2 linked regions of the Mus musculus genome follow. The protein of the gene in region 2 interacts with the protein of the main gene of each other region in a biochemical or structural test. Links are inferred from orthologs where the notes say so. Each region holds a gene or a part of one and is shown on either strand. Other genes may lie near its edges.

The links.
Region 1: the proteins of Sh3rf1 (region 2) and Akt2 form a complex in vitro, tested with the Homo sapiens proteins (2 studies listed by BioGRID and IntAct, with this or other methods). The link is inferred for Mus musculus from reciprocal best matches to the Homo sapiens genes SH3RF1 and AKT2.

What each region holds. Positions count from the first base shown.
Region 1 is NC_000073.6:27,587,899-27,595,480, reverse strand, and holds the start of Akt2 (RAC-beta serine/threonine-protein kinase), read right to left. Parts: upstream 3,930-7,582; 5' UTR 3,602-3,929; intron 3,336-3,601; exon of another isoform or gene 2,824-3,335; intron 2,724-2,823; exon of another isoform or gene 2,652-2,723; intron 1-2,651. UniProt on the Homo sapiens protein: Serine/threonine kinase closely related to AKT1 and AKT3. All 3 enzymes, AKT1, AKT2 and AKT3, are collectively known as AKT kinase.
Region 2 is NC_000074.6:61,389,842-61,396,741, reverse strand, and holds the end of Sh3rf1 (E3 ubiquitin-protein ligase SH3RF1), read right to left. Parts: intron 3,074-6,900; coding exon 2,905-3,073; 3' UTR 670-2,904; downstream 1-669. UniProt on the Homo sapiens protein: Has E3 ubiquitin-protein ligase activity. In the absence of an external substrate, it can catalyze self-ubiquitination. Stimulates ubiquitination of potassium channel KCNJ1, enhancing it's dynamin-dependent and clathrin-independent endocytosis.

The sequences.
Region 1 (7,582 bases), on a different chromosome or scaffold from region 2:
GAATTGGGACTCTGTCAGTACCCTAGTATTTTCACCTGATGCAACACCCTGCCTGCTCCCAACCTTTCCACCACTCCATGACTGTGGCAGGGATTTAGAAAAAGCACACAAAACAAAGGTATGAACCAACTCTGGAACGTGGGAAGGACCTACAGTTTGTACCGAGAGGCACTTGTTAGCTGACTTTACTGTGTGCCACCTTGACTCTACATTTGGGAAAGTGACTAACGTCAGCCCTGCTTTTCTCCTGATGTCCTCTGACAAACTACTACAAACTAGCTAGGGCACAGAATCCTAGCAGCAGTGAATTATAATTTGCTAGGCCACGCTGAGCACATACCTGTCTATCACTTGCGCCAGACATAGAAGAGGCTGCAGTATCTAGGATTCCCTGTTGCCACCTAAGGAAGGCATTGTCCTCCCTGAACTCAGATAAGGCTTCAAGAAGGCTGAAGTGCCCACTCAGAGCTACACAGCTAGCACCTGGAAGGCTGGATTTGAACTCAGTGCTTAGTACTGCACTATAGCCTTTTTGAAAACTGTGTGTATTATTGTGTATGTACATGTACATAGTTGGGGACATGCTGTGACATGCAGAGGACGACTGTGGAGCTGGTTCTGACCTTCTACCCTTATGTGGGTTCTGAGGATTGAACACAGGTTGCAAGGCCTGCATAATAGCAAATGTCTTCACCCCCTGAGCCATCTTGTCAGCCCAACATAGCTCTTTACAGAAGCTGGGAACCAGGACATTGAATGTCTAGATGGAGACTGGACAGAGTTGGATTCCTAGACACCTAACAGAAGCGAAAGCAGGGGATGGATAAGGTGGGTGCCTCGTCCTACAGCAGGTTCTGAGTGTCCGCAGAGACTCCCATGGCTTGGCACCATGGTAGAAGCTTTCTATCGATCGGTTAAGTCACTCACTGGCTCTTCACAGCAGCTGGAGCTGAGCGCCTTCGGAGTCTACTGCATGTAGATATTCTCACTCCAATCACACAGCCCGAAGAGCTCATGCTCACCCTGCCTCTAACTGGGGTCCATAGCTGCTCTCACCACCTCGCGGAATGGCTCTCCTGCTAGCGTCTTCTGTCCCCAGCACACATGTACTCAGGGCTAAAAGAGGTCTTATTCAGTTCTGTCCCCCAGTTTCTCCCGAAAAACCTGAAATGCTGAAACTTTCAAGTACAGGAACATCCAAAGAATGCAGACACCCAGAACCAGGCTCAAGAGGGCAGAGAGCACTGCAGCCTGGGACCTCTGCGTCTAAATCCCAGCCTGGCTTCCAAGGGGTCTGATTCAGACCTGGAAAAAAGCACCTTCTCCTTCAGGCTGCAATTTCTAATTTTGCTTCAACAAAAAGAAATAAAATGCTATATAAAGCCACAAGCCCAAAGCTGGGCACAGAGTAGTTAGTCGCAAACAGAAGCCACAATGGCTCAGTGCCTTGGTTGCCTTACCTGTGACCTGGGCATAACATTCCTACCTCACTGTTAGGTCTCTATAAAGTAGACAGAACGATAGGTACACAACTATAATATTTGAAACTTACATGAAGCCATCCATGTGCAAAAGGCCTATCATATCCCTAGCATGATAGGACTACTAAATAGCACATACTACCCACTATCACTTGAAATGGTGCAGCCCTGTGACTCGGTTTCCTCAACTAAAAAGGACAGCATGACAACAGAGTCTGCTACTCTAGACCGCAAGGCATCCTCCACAGTGTGTGGCACACTGAATGCTCTGAGTGAAGGTCAGCTATCAATTTCACGGTCATTACTTTTATAGCGCCTGTTAACTCTATCAGGCAAACCTTCTGAAAGCTCCTTGGAGAGGTCGAGAAGCCCATCCCTGGTGGAGAAAACCCTAGAGGACACCCACTGCCTGCACCTTCTCTCTGGGAACCACGCCGCACTGAGGCCGGCAAGCACGGACACCAACGCTGTAGATCAATGGCTACTGTCTGTTCCCTTGACCATATCACCAGACTTGTCAGCTAGGTCAATCAGGGCCTGCAGCCAATCCTCCAGGAAATTTAGACCTAGGACAAAGGTTACAGGGCAAGCCAAGATCACAAGCTAGCCTAAGGAGCAAGGACACTGGCCACACACTTCTGGGGTTCCCTGCTTAGGGACCACAGTAAGAAACTAGGTCTGTGAGGAACCTAAAGCAGTCCCAAACACTATTACGTAGCCTTTCTCCCTAGGTCAGACCAAGCTGGATAAAGTACACTCCCCTCCAAGTACCCTTGGCCTCTGCAGAGCGAACAGCTGGGAAAACAGCACTCAACCTCACCAAGAGGCCAACTGTTATCACTCAACTAGTAGGAGCGTAAACAGGACTCTAGATTGAGCTGGTAACAGGGAGGCACAAGCAGCCACGTGGCCAGGGCTGGAGAAACGTGGGCCCCTTCACATCCATATCCACGACACCAGGCAGTACCTGAACTCTCACCTGCATCTCTGAGGAGGGAATAGTAAACAGGCTAAAAATCAGCCTGACCTGAACCTATGGTTTTCTAGCAGGGGGAGGCCTGTCACCAGGTGCCAAAAGTTCTCCAAATGAGAGAAACAGGGGCCCCAAATTCTGAGAATAAAGATGCCCCCCCCCCACTTCGCTCTAGAGAGCTGTCCCTTAAAACACACCTTCCGCCCAAAAGGTGACAGGCAGGTCCAGAGGCACTTCTCCTTATCCAAGCCCGATAGCCCCTCCCTTTCCTAGTAGGGAGCCAGACTAGAGATCAGAAAACTTCAGTGACTTCTAAAACACATCTCCACCCCCGGAAGCAAAGAACTTGCCAAAGGATGTCCCACACACCTTAAAGAGAAATAATCTGAGAGGGTTCTGGAGTGGTGAGTGGACAACCCCATGATAAAAAGCAGCCCAGTAACGATCCCGTTTTCCCCAAAGTCATAAAGAAGTTCAAGAAAGGGTGAGCTGAGTGTAAACGCCCACCCCTGCATATTACAGGAAGAGAAAAGCGCTCCTCGCCCACTCAGTATCACACCCCTAAAAGTACGCCCCTTAACACTCACTCGGGCCTCCCAGCACCCTGTGCCTCAAAGATGATAAACATCACAGCCCTCCACCCGACCCTGTTCTCCTCTAAGTACAAAGACTGCTCTCTCGTGTCTAGGTGGTACTACCCTGACTGCCCCAACACGGCCACCCTGGGCCCAGACCCCTCTCCAGAAGCTCCCATCCCTCTAAGTGCACTATAGGAACGGCTCCCAAAGCACCCAAGCGGCACTTGACACGGTGAGCGCCTCAAAAGCTGGACAGGCTGGCACCACAGAGAAGGAGCTGTCTCCCCCGATGTCCCCGAGGGCAGCCCCCAGCCCGCACACTCAGAGAGAGCTCCCCCCGCCGCCGCAGTGGTATGGACCACGGCACCCGCCCCGCGTCCCTCTGGGTTTGTCCCCCCCAGCCCCGCAGCAGGCGCCCCCACTCCGTTCCGGAAGAGGGGGGGAGCCTCCAGGTCCGTGGTCCCCGCCAGGCGGGCACGGGTGGTACGGCCCAGCGAGGCCCCACGGGGGGCCAGGACGCGACCATCGCGGAGGGGAGGGCGCTTGGGGACACGCGCTGGCGTACTCACCTGTCACCGGCGGCCGCCCAGCCTCTCCGGCCGGGCTCTACCCCCGCCCATCGCCACGCTGAGCTCGTTCCCGCTCCTTATTTATGAACTGGCGGCAGCAACGGCGGCAGTGCTGGCGGCGGCGACGCCTTCTCGGAGTCAGGCCCAACGGCTCGCGCAGCGCGGGCCCCCCCGCCCCCTCCCCCCAGCCCCCAGCCCCCACTCACAGCCCCCTCCCACCCGCTGGCCGGAAATACCGCCTTTTCCAGCCACAAACAGGAACTGACGTAGTAGACCAAGGGAATGGCCTCAGAAAACATCAGACCGCAAGCGCAGGAACTAGGAGGCAGGCAGGCTCAAGGCAGCGCGCCTGCGTACTTTAGGCACCCGTCACGTTAACTTTTTATTTATTTATTTTTTTTAAGAGCCCCGTTCTGAGCTGGGGGGGCGGAGGGGGGGGTAGCATTACACATGCGCAGTAGGACACCAACAAGTAGGCTTTCCCCGAAGGCCCAGTGATTACTTCCCGGCAATCAAAGGGCTTTATTTACATATGCTTTGATCTTGTTTTATTCTTCTCTTTCCTGCCTTCCTAGTTCCTAGACCAGCGGTTCTTCACTTGGGAACCTCTCACAGGGGTTGCCTAAGATCATCGGAAAATTCAGATATTTACATTATGATTCATAAGAATAGCAAAATTAGTTATGAAGTGACAACGAAAATAATTTTATGTTTGGGGGATCACCACATGAGGAACTGTATTAAAGAGTCACATTAGGTAGACTGAGAAACACTGTCCTAGACTTTCTTTTTTTCTTTCTTTTTTTTTTTTTTTTTTTTTTTAACTTAATGTATGAGTGCTCTGATCTGCAGGCCAGAAGAGGGCATCAGATCCCCTTATAGATGGTAGTGAGCCACCATGTGATTGCTGGGACTTGAACTCAGGACCTCTGGAAGAGCAGTTAGTGTTCTTAACCGCTGAGCCATCTTACCAGCCTGACTTTTTTTTTTTTTTTGGTTTTTCGAGACAGGGTTTCTGTGTATAGCCCTGGCTGTCCTGAAACTCGCCCTGTAGACCAAGCTGTCTTGAACTCAGAGATCTGCCTGCTTCTGCCTTCTGAGCAATAGGATTAAAGGCCTGGCCTGCCACTGCCAGGCTCCTAGATGCTTACTTATAGAGACCCAAAACAAGTTAGTTAAGATCAAGCACAAAGCAGGGTATGGCAACAGGTCTGTTACTGCATCATTCTGGATGTTGGGGCAGGCCAGCTAGACCTTGTCTCAAAAAAAAAAAAAGATGTTGCACTCAAGCTTTGAGCCACATAACCCCACATTAGAATATCCTCTTCTGTAACTATGGGCTGACTTCTGTATCCACATCTCAAGAATCCACATCTTCAAAACACAAATAACCTTGGATTATCTTACGAAAACAGTTCTTATTAAACTGTGACTTCAAAATATTAATGTCACTTGCACATGATATATATCTAAATAAATGTGGGACTTATAATTTCTCATATGGAGTAACTTGAGCCCATGTAAGACTTAAAACCACAGAAAATCGCTCACAGAAAAAAAGGTATATAGGTTGCACGGCTGTAACCCACCTCTGCAGACCCTGAAACAAGAGGACTAAGAATTCCATGCCAGATTGGGATTCATAGTAAGACCTTGAAATTTCAAGGTTTCCCTTAATTATTGGGGATGGAGTAGATGCAAGTGAGGAGCCAGAGAGGAGAGCATCAGACTGGAGCTACAGCTTCTGACCACTGTAGTCAGCGCCATGGGGAGCTCCCAGCCAGACTCAAGTCCTTGCAAAAGCTGGAGGCTTTTTTTTTTTTTTTTTTTTTTTTTTGGTTTTTCGAGACAGGGTTTCTCGAGACAGGGTTTCTCCATGTAGCCCTGGCTGTCCTGGAACTCACTCTGTAGACCAGGCTGGCCTCGAACTCAGAAATCCGCCTGCCTCTGCCTCTGCCTCCAGAGTGCTGGGATTAAAGGCGTGCGCCACCACGCCCGGCTTGCTGGAGGCTTTTTTATTAGTATTTTATTTCAACATTAATGGGTGGCTGGGGGGCTTAGCAGTTAAGAACAACCCCTGATCCCCAGAGAACTGAACTTCAGCTCTCAGATCCCACATACCTTTTTTTTTTTTTCGTTTGTTTGTTTTTCTGTAAGCAGAGGGAAATGTTTTCGTTTTGGGAAAAAGCCATGTAGCCTTGAGCTCATAAAAATCCTCCTATGCCAGCCTAGGCAAGTGCTGGGATTACAGAGATGCCACTTTACCCAGGTCATATGAGGGGCTCACAGGTGCCTCAGCGGGTGTACATACCTGTTTGCCAAGCCTAATAACCTAAATGTAATCCCTTGGGACTAATATGGTGGAAGGAGAACAGACACCCTCCAATTGTTCTCTGACCTCACATGTACACCACGGCACACAAACACACTATAAAGTGCAGTAAATCTTTAATCCCAACACTCGGGAGGCAGGGGCAGGCGGATCCCTGGGAGCTCCAGCCAAGCCAGGGCTACACTGAGATCCTGCCACAAGTTAAGAACACTTATTACTCTTTTTTTAATTTATTGTTTTATTTATTTATTTTAAAGATTTATTATATTTATATGAGTACACTGTAGCTGTCTTCAGACACACCAAAGGAGGGCATCAGATCTCATTACGGATGGTTGTGAGCCACCATGTGGTTGCTGGGATTTGAACTCAGGACCTCTGGAAGAGCAGTCGGTGCTCTTAACCGCTGAGCCATCTCACCAGCCCCCACTTATTACTCTTGAAGATAACCTTGGTTCTATTTCCAACACCCACATACCAGTTTACAACTCTCTTCTGATCTTTGAGAGCACCAACCGTGCACATGGTACACACACACACAGACAAAACACTTAAACTAAGAGACCCCAGATTCTTTTTAAGAGATAAAATGGTTCTTCCTATAAGCATTCTGAGGTGACCTATGAAGATGGCTTGCTACTCTACTGACCCAGAAACTCCTACAAAATCATGCAAATAAACAAGTTCAAATCTTCATGTTCAGTTTAAGAACACTGGTGAAACTGCCAGGCCATCAAGGGTAGGCATATGTGGGAAGTCACCAAGTGTCTGAAGGATGTCACTTTAAAGAAGCAATGTCCTATAATGGTGGAGTGTAGGTATTCCCAGGCCAACCAATGGGGCTACACAGGGTCAGTGGCCAAAACAGACTGCTGAATGTTTGCAGCACATGCTTAGCAATGCGGAGAGTAACCCTGAACTTAGGGGTTTAGACGTAGATTCTCTAGTCATTGAACACATCCAGGTGAACAAGGCACCTAAGATGCGCCGACGAACCTACAGAGCTCATGGCTGGATTAACCCACACATGAGCTCCCCCTGCCACAGTGAGATGATCCTCACTGAGAAGGAACAATCGTTCCAAAGCCAGAAGAGGAAGTCGCACAGAAATAAAAAGCTATCCCAGGCGAAACAAAAATGTACCACATGGGAATAAATTCAGCATAAAAAAAATGCAGATAAAAGTAAAAATTAATTTAAAAATGTAAAATAGTTGAAAATCAAGTGTATCTTATTCTGTAGAACTGGCTGACTTGGAACTCAGTAAGTAGATCAGACTGGCCTTGAACTCAGTGGTCTGCTTACGTCTGTCTCCCAAGTGGTGGGACTAAAGGTGCACTACCATGCCCCATCTGGCAGCTAACTCGACAGTCCTCCTACCTTAGCAACTCAAGTAAGTGCTGCACCACTGCACTCAGTTCCTAAAAACCAGAAACAAAATGAACAAGAACTATATAGTGAGTTCCAGGGTAGCTAGCACTACACAGCGAACTCTTCTCAAGAAGAGTCCTATTGATTGCTGTTACAAACTCTGCCCCTCCCCCTAAAAAGAGTCAACTACTTAACCAGTAAGGAAATGTATTAGTATGTATTAGTTATATTTATGCTCTTGCCACAAGATGGCACCATATATATGAGCTGGTCATTCT
Region 2 (6,900 bases):
CGTCACAATTGGCTTACACAGGCAATTACAGAGGGAACTTCTGGCAAAGCTATAACACAACCCAAACTTCCTGATCTTTAATGATTTGATATGGTAGCCTAAAGTCAATAGAGAAATATATTTTTAAACGAGAATGTACGTGGACCTTTGATCTTGTGGGAGATTAAAATCCTGGTGAGCTGAGAGACAGCGTTCCCACGCCACACTATGTATTTGGTTGTGGGCCTGCTACACCCACGCTTAGAAATCAAACACTTGCTAAGTTATTTTAGGAACCCGGAGGGATCAAGCTCAGCAAGTGTTACACACTGTCTTAGGAGATCCAGAACTCATTGAAGAGTTTAAGTTTCTTGGGGAATAAAGTTAGTTTGAGAGAAAAAGAAATCATCACCATCAAGCCAAGCCTCATAGAAGGCACCCTCAGACGGAGATTCATCTGGAGTGTTACCAACTAGAAATCAAGTCCAACGTGTCCGTGCTGAAGAGGGCAGGAGTCCTGGGTTCCCTGGCGCTGGAGGTACAGGCAGCTGTGGTCTGGCCTGAATTCAGGTTCTCCACAAGAATGGTGCAGGCTCTTAAACAGCTGAGCCGCCTCTCCACCTCCAAGAGGTTCTTATTCATTTTAAGGCGCAAATTCTTCAAAGATTGATTAAAAAAAAAAGGGCCTAGAAGGGTTGAACATCAATTTTTAATAATGAAACCTTTCATCCAGTCCTCAAAATTACCATAAAAGGCATGAGAAATTGTCGACTTCTCATCCCCACCACGGTGTGACAAGCCCTTGTTACAACATCCATCTACTGTCTCCAAAAAGCCCAATACAAAACCCACACATTATATCACCTAGTGATCTACCAACAGATGAGAGTTTAACCAGCGTTATACCAGGAAGCTATTACCACGGATACTTCAATCACATAGCTGAAAATATGGAGAAAAGACAGGTAAAAAAAGAAATCATCTTAACTTGTAGTAGTCTTTTTGCTTTTTTAAAATTTCTATAAAATACACTAATATCCCAAAATAAAGAATATTATGACACATTGGTGTCGACTCACACAGATGAAAGCTGATGTCAGCTTTTTTCTAACTAAAGTTCATTTCACCAAACCTTTATATATTACATGAATATCCAAGTAAAGTATTTCTTTAAAAAAAAAATTCAACACAAAGGAACATAATATACAGTGTTTTTATATATATATAAAAAAAAATCAATTAACAGGAATGATTCCACTTCTAGCCACATTACGTATCTCTTTAAGACAATGGGATCTCTTGCCATTCTGTGACTCTTCAGTTCATGTCAATATTTCCCAGCTACTTTTATCTTAAAGTTAAAAAAAAACAAAAAAAAAAAAAAACAAAAGGAAAAGTTGGTTGTAAGACTTCCTTACTCTCTTACCCAGAAGAGAACCGTAGAACAAGGTCATTCACTACCAGGCTGTCTTCCCTCTATCTGCTCTCAGGACTAGCCAGACCCACAGCTGGGGTGGAATTGGAAGAGAGCATCAAAGGATGGATATAAAAAGATGGGCTCAGCCAGACCCTACCACAATTGTAAGGTGTGGGCACAGCCACTCCCAGCAAGCCTTGCCGAACAGTCCCAGGAGCGAGTGGTCTCCCAGAGCTCGCCCTTCACATCCGTCCGCTGGGAGGACACATGTGGATAAGCATTTTAACTACTGGTGTGCTGGCTAACGTGTGCCTTCACCCGAGAGGGAGCAAACATACTTAAGACATCTCGGTCAGTAGTGGTGGTGGTGGTGGGGGCAGGGGCAGGGGCAGGGAAGAGATCGCTGTGTATGTTAAACCTCCTGTTATCGGTCAGTTCTGAGTGAAAATTGCTATGAAATACACACACCATGCACAGTCCACACCACTGTGGGAATCCGGTATCACATGCAAGATGGCGGAGAAATCACGATGGATGAGTGGAAACGTTCACAGTGTTTTCTTACAGCCTTTTGACTTTAACACGAGTGCATCTCTTACCACCACTGTCTCACAAACTTTTACTGTGTCTTGGGGCATGCGGATCACTTGGGGATAGAATGGGAACTACGGTTCAAAGCCACTCACACACAGAGACTACCACTTTCTCTCACTTCCCACGGCGCTGCTGCTTGTGCTAGCAGACAAACGCGTATTTCCAGTCAATGGTTGTGCTTTAGTTTGCGTCTTTCTTTACCCACTTCGTTTCAGGAAAATGAAAAACCCACAAAAAAGAAATCCAGGATTAGGTCTTCAGGTTGATTTCTGATCAAAGCAGACAGATGGGGACCTACTAACTCCTCTACCTGGAGTCTGCCGGCTCCCCTCCCCAGGTCCTTCCCGGTACTGATTCAGCTGTCTGTTTGGAAAACTGGCATTTTTGTCTAAACGGAGCCAAATATAACGGCAGGGAGGAGGGCAGCAAGCAGGGGAGGGGGAGATGCAGTCTATGTCAAAAAGAATCTCTTGCTCTCAACAGACAGGAGAGAACCCAGCTTCTCCTTAACCATCATTTCATAAATTAATATTTTCTAAAAACCATAACCCAAAGAATTTGCTATTACAAGAAAGTTCAAGTTTTAAAAAAGCAAATAAATTAGTTAAGCCTTGTAAACAATTGTCCATTTTAGTTATACATCTTAAAAAAAAAAAGACATTTATCTGTAAAGTCCATTAGACATTACAAGGCACACTTTACACATCAGAACCCAGAGAGACGGAACCCACACAGGTGTGTCCTCCTTCCCTCTGCCCCTGGGGTAACCAGGCCGGGGCTCTGGAGTCAGGTGCCCATCTTCTGCTCGGTTCTTGAAGATCTGGAAGTCCACAGATGTGCTCTTTCTATGAAACTGCTTTGTGCTCTTTAGTCACACGTGGTGTGATGATAAGCTTTCTCCGTGTCCCGTCTTCTCAGATGTTTTCCACAAAGCTCCCTGGGAAAAGGCCAGTCTTCCCATTCCTCTGTAACGTGCCTTTGAACCAGCCGTCCTCTCGTTTCTTATGAACAAACACAATATCTCCTTCCTTGAGTTCAAGTTCGGCCTCACTCTGAGGAGGGTAGGAAACCACCACCCTGTGCCTGTGCGAGAGAAGCAGACTCTTCAGGTCAGCAATAAAAACGGTGCACCGTCACTTCACAGCGTGCCTCGGCACCGATAGAACTCACACAGCCATTCACAAGGCTTTGCGCAACTCAAAATCCAGCAATTCTCTTTAGCCAAGCCTGAGCTGGGTATTCATCTTCATCCACTAACGAGGGCCAAACTGGTGTTTGTGAGTGACCTCCACAGGGAGAGACATTTTTGTCTGCCTTCAGTATTTGTATTTTAGCTATACCTAAGGATATGTGTTGTGTGGATTCTTAATAGGGAAACCATTCCTGTCCTACCCTCTACTCCAGGAAGAGACAAGTAGATTTGATTTCTGAGACCAGGACAAACAGCTGAGCAAGCCAAGACTTCTTGCAGGCAGTGTACTGAGCTGGGCGAGGTGAGGTGTCAGGTCTGCTGCCTGGGGCAGATCTGGAGGACTGTCTTCGGTATCCCTTACTCTGGGTTTGATATTCAGGAGGCAGTGCCTGCCTGCCTTTACATAGGCAAGTCTTGCATTGGGAAGAGGTCCCAAGGTCTACACAGAAATGAGAGAACTGTGGGCTCAATTCTGCCCACCACGGCCAGCAATGATGCTGACACTCCAATCTCCTTGTGTCTTATCTATTCGCTTGCCCTTAGTTCTCAAGGCAGATGTGAGTGGGAAGAAGCGTAGCTAGTACCTAACTGCCCAGCAGCCTTGTGGATTACCATCACTTAACCCCGTGCCCCTATGCCTTGGTCTCTAAGGCAGGGTTATGATTAGCAGCTAAGGAAGTCAGGCAGGGGTGACTTATTTTGGGTCTCCCGACCCAGTCTTTTCTCTACTGGATATTATCTCTCTCTTTCCTCTGCCTTGCTCTTTCCAATCAAAGCGGTGGTTGTTGTTGGTGTTTGGTAGCCATCTTCTAGCTATCCCTGCCTCTGCTAGTCTCATACATGCACAGTTTTCTTCTACAATGCCCCGTGTGATAAAGAAATAGTACAAAAGTGACTGTGACTTCTGAGGCCAGGTGACTGAGGACGGGGACAATCAGTTGGCATGGGTGAGGCCACTGGACACTCCTAATCAGGCACCATGTGAGGGTCTAAAGTGTCTTCCCCAAACTAGTCAACAATAATGTGAAGGAGCTGCGTTAAAACCAGGCCTGCTAGCATCTGTATAGCCTGGTTCTCTCTTGAATCCCCATTCCATAAAAACCCAGAACCCACCACATTATTGAGGACCACAGCAAGTGGGCTCACTTTTCACAAAAGCTAAGTAGCTGTCCAACAATTACTCTGCTCTCTAGGGCATGGGTACCAATCTACCCTCCCAGGTCTGCAGCAAAAGCATAGCGCTGGGTCCGTTTATCCTTTCCAAGAAAGGTTCAGCCAACTCAGACATGAGTTTACAGATAAGGTCGTCAAATGCAGAGCAGGAAGGAGTGGAGAGGCACTGTGGGTGAAGGGGAACTGACACAGTCTTATGGTCACTCAGAGCACCTTAACTTTGAGCCAGCTAACACTGCCTCAGTCTCCTCCCCTGGAGAATGGGACTTCAATGAGTTAGACAATCTATTTTATAAGTAGCACAATGAGGTCAAAAGAGTGGCATTCTTGGTACAGCGACACGTACAGTTCAACCCCAGAATGTGAGCCACTTCAAGCATAGGGCTTCCTTGAGCATGCTGGGGTCTGGTACTTCAGGGAGGGGAATTTTAAGAAGCGGGCTAGTCCCTAACTAACAGATGAACTCAGGCCACAAGCTAAAGAACGTCCTGACACTGGGAGTTCCCACACTTTAGAATGACATAGAGTTTTGGAACCCTTTCACTGACAACTTTAAAAGCAAACTAACAACTTCATCGTGCAGTGATCTAAAAGAAGAACCCAGATGTGATTTCTCAGGTCTGATGCCAACAGGCCAAAAGTCCACATAAAACACAATGATGTAGTTGCCATTAGGGGCGAGTTAACATTTAAGCAAAGCTGTGCAGTTCTGGGGGGAAATATACCACTGACGGAAAGCATATTCTGTGTAGATCTCTCACGAGATGCGTTGCTGACTGGCAGCCTGTAAGCCGCTTTAAGGTAAAATGGAACAAGACAAGTTTAAAAACTTTAAGGGAATTAGATTAATATTTGCATTTTATAAAAACGCACTAAACCAATTTTGTCCGAAAATTCAGCACTGGAGTGGCTGCTGGGCTAAGAACATAATCTTCCCGCCAAGTTACCAGTGGGAACAAATTTTCATTGCTAAGTTATAGACCTCGAGGGGGAGTGGAGTGGTGGAGTGAGAAGCCATGTGCAGAATGGAAACTGTGACATGCTGTGCGTCATGTGAGGACTGCCAGGTGTCGGCACCGAGGAACTCCACTTAGAGGCCTTCCAGCTCGGGCCCTGGCCTTGAGCCTCACGGAGCGGTTTGTACTGAGACTTTGTCACATAGCTCCAAATGCTGGCAGGACAGCCCAGCGAACTCAGGCACGCAAAAGCCCTGCCAAGCAGAGTCTTTACAGACATCCACAAGCAGATGTCATACGCAGCTGCAAAGGCCCTCACACCTGCCGCCCAGCCCTCTGCCTTACTGGCTCATGCTCGCCCTTGTGTGAATCGGGTTCCCGGGCACTTCTGAACGTCTTGAACTTGAGCTACATTCTGCACCTTCTGTGGCACCTGCTGAGCCACCTCCAAAAGCTGCACCCCCATTGGTCTCCTTCGCTGTCATCTGGCTGACGGGCTAACTATGCCCCACCCCCTTCTTGTATTATACTTCCTCCAGTCCCCAATCCATTCCATGCACAACTCAAATATTTATATTAAGTCATGCCACCTGTAGGTACCCATTGTGAAAAACCATTAGCGGGCTCTCAGTGTCTGTAAGGTTAATCCTCACACTGCTACACAAAGCCCTCAATGATCTGGCCATAATCCTGCTTTATAGCTATAGCAGCCATCGTCATCGCAAACACCCCACCCCCACCCCACCCCACCCCAAGAAGCCTGCCCATGTCTCTTCAAACATAGCCCCACTTCTCCTCCTCCTCCACATATTGGCTCCTGCAGCTCCTTGCATGGGGAATCTCTCTCACAATATCGCTGCTCATCCACGCCCTATCAATCTCTCAAGACCTGGCTCAAAATCTCCCCTGGGAAACCTCTAGCCCCATAGCTGGAAGTAATTTTACGCTTGACTGACCCGCAGAGGGCCGTGTGTGTGTTTCTCACGGCACTTAGCACGGTCCATACTGTATTTTTACCATCTGTGTTGCTGTCTCGTTTATTTTCGACTCGTGGATAATGTTGAATTAACTCTCTCCGCCTCATGTGACCAAAGGCAGAACATAAGATGATTCTTATTAAGCACATTGAATGAGTGAGACCTAACCACTCAGTAAGCATTTTTTAAAATGTGTAATGTTCTTAAAAAAAAAAAAAGTCACTGAAATTCTAATACATGCTACAACATGGAGGGATCCGGAAAGCATCATGCTAAGAGAAAAAAGTCAGACGAAGAAGGAAAGGTGCTCTAGGACTCCACTGATATGAAACCACTGTGTAGAGAAAGGAGAACAGACTTCAGGGGCCACAGAAATGGGAAGAAAGCAGCTGTGAATGATGTGGTCTTCCTGTACAGAAGATGCAGAAGACATTCTAGAGACGGACACTGACACACGATCAATGTAAAGGCACCCAGAGCCAGTGGACTGTACCTTTGAATAGGGGTGAGTTTTAACTAGATTTTAGTCTTCCTTCCATTGAAAAGAGATTGCATTCTCACATGATATATCCTGACTCTAGTTCCCCTCCTCTACTGTCCCGGCTCCTTCCC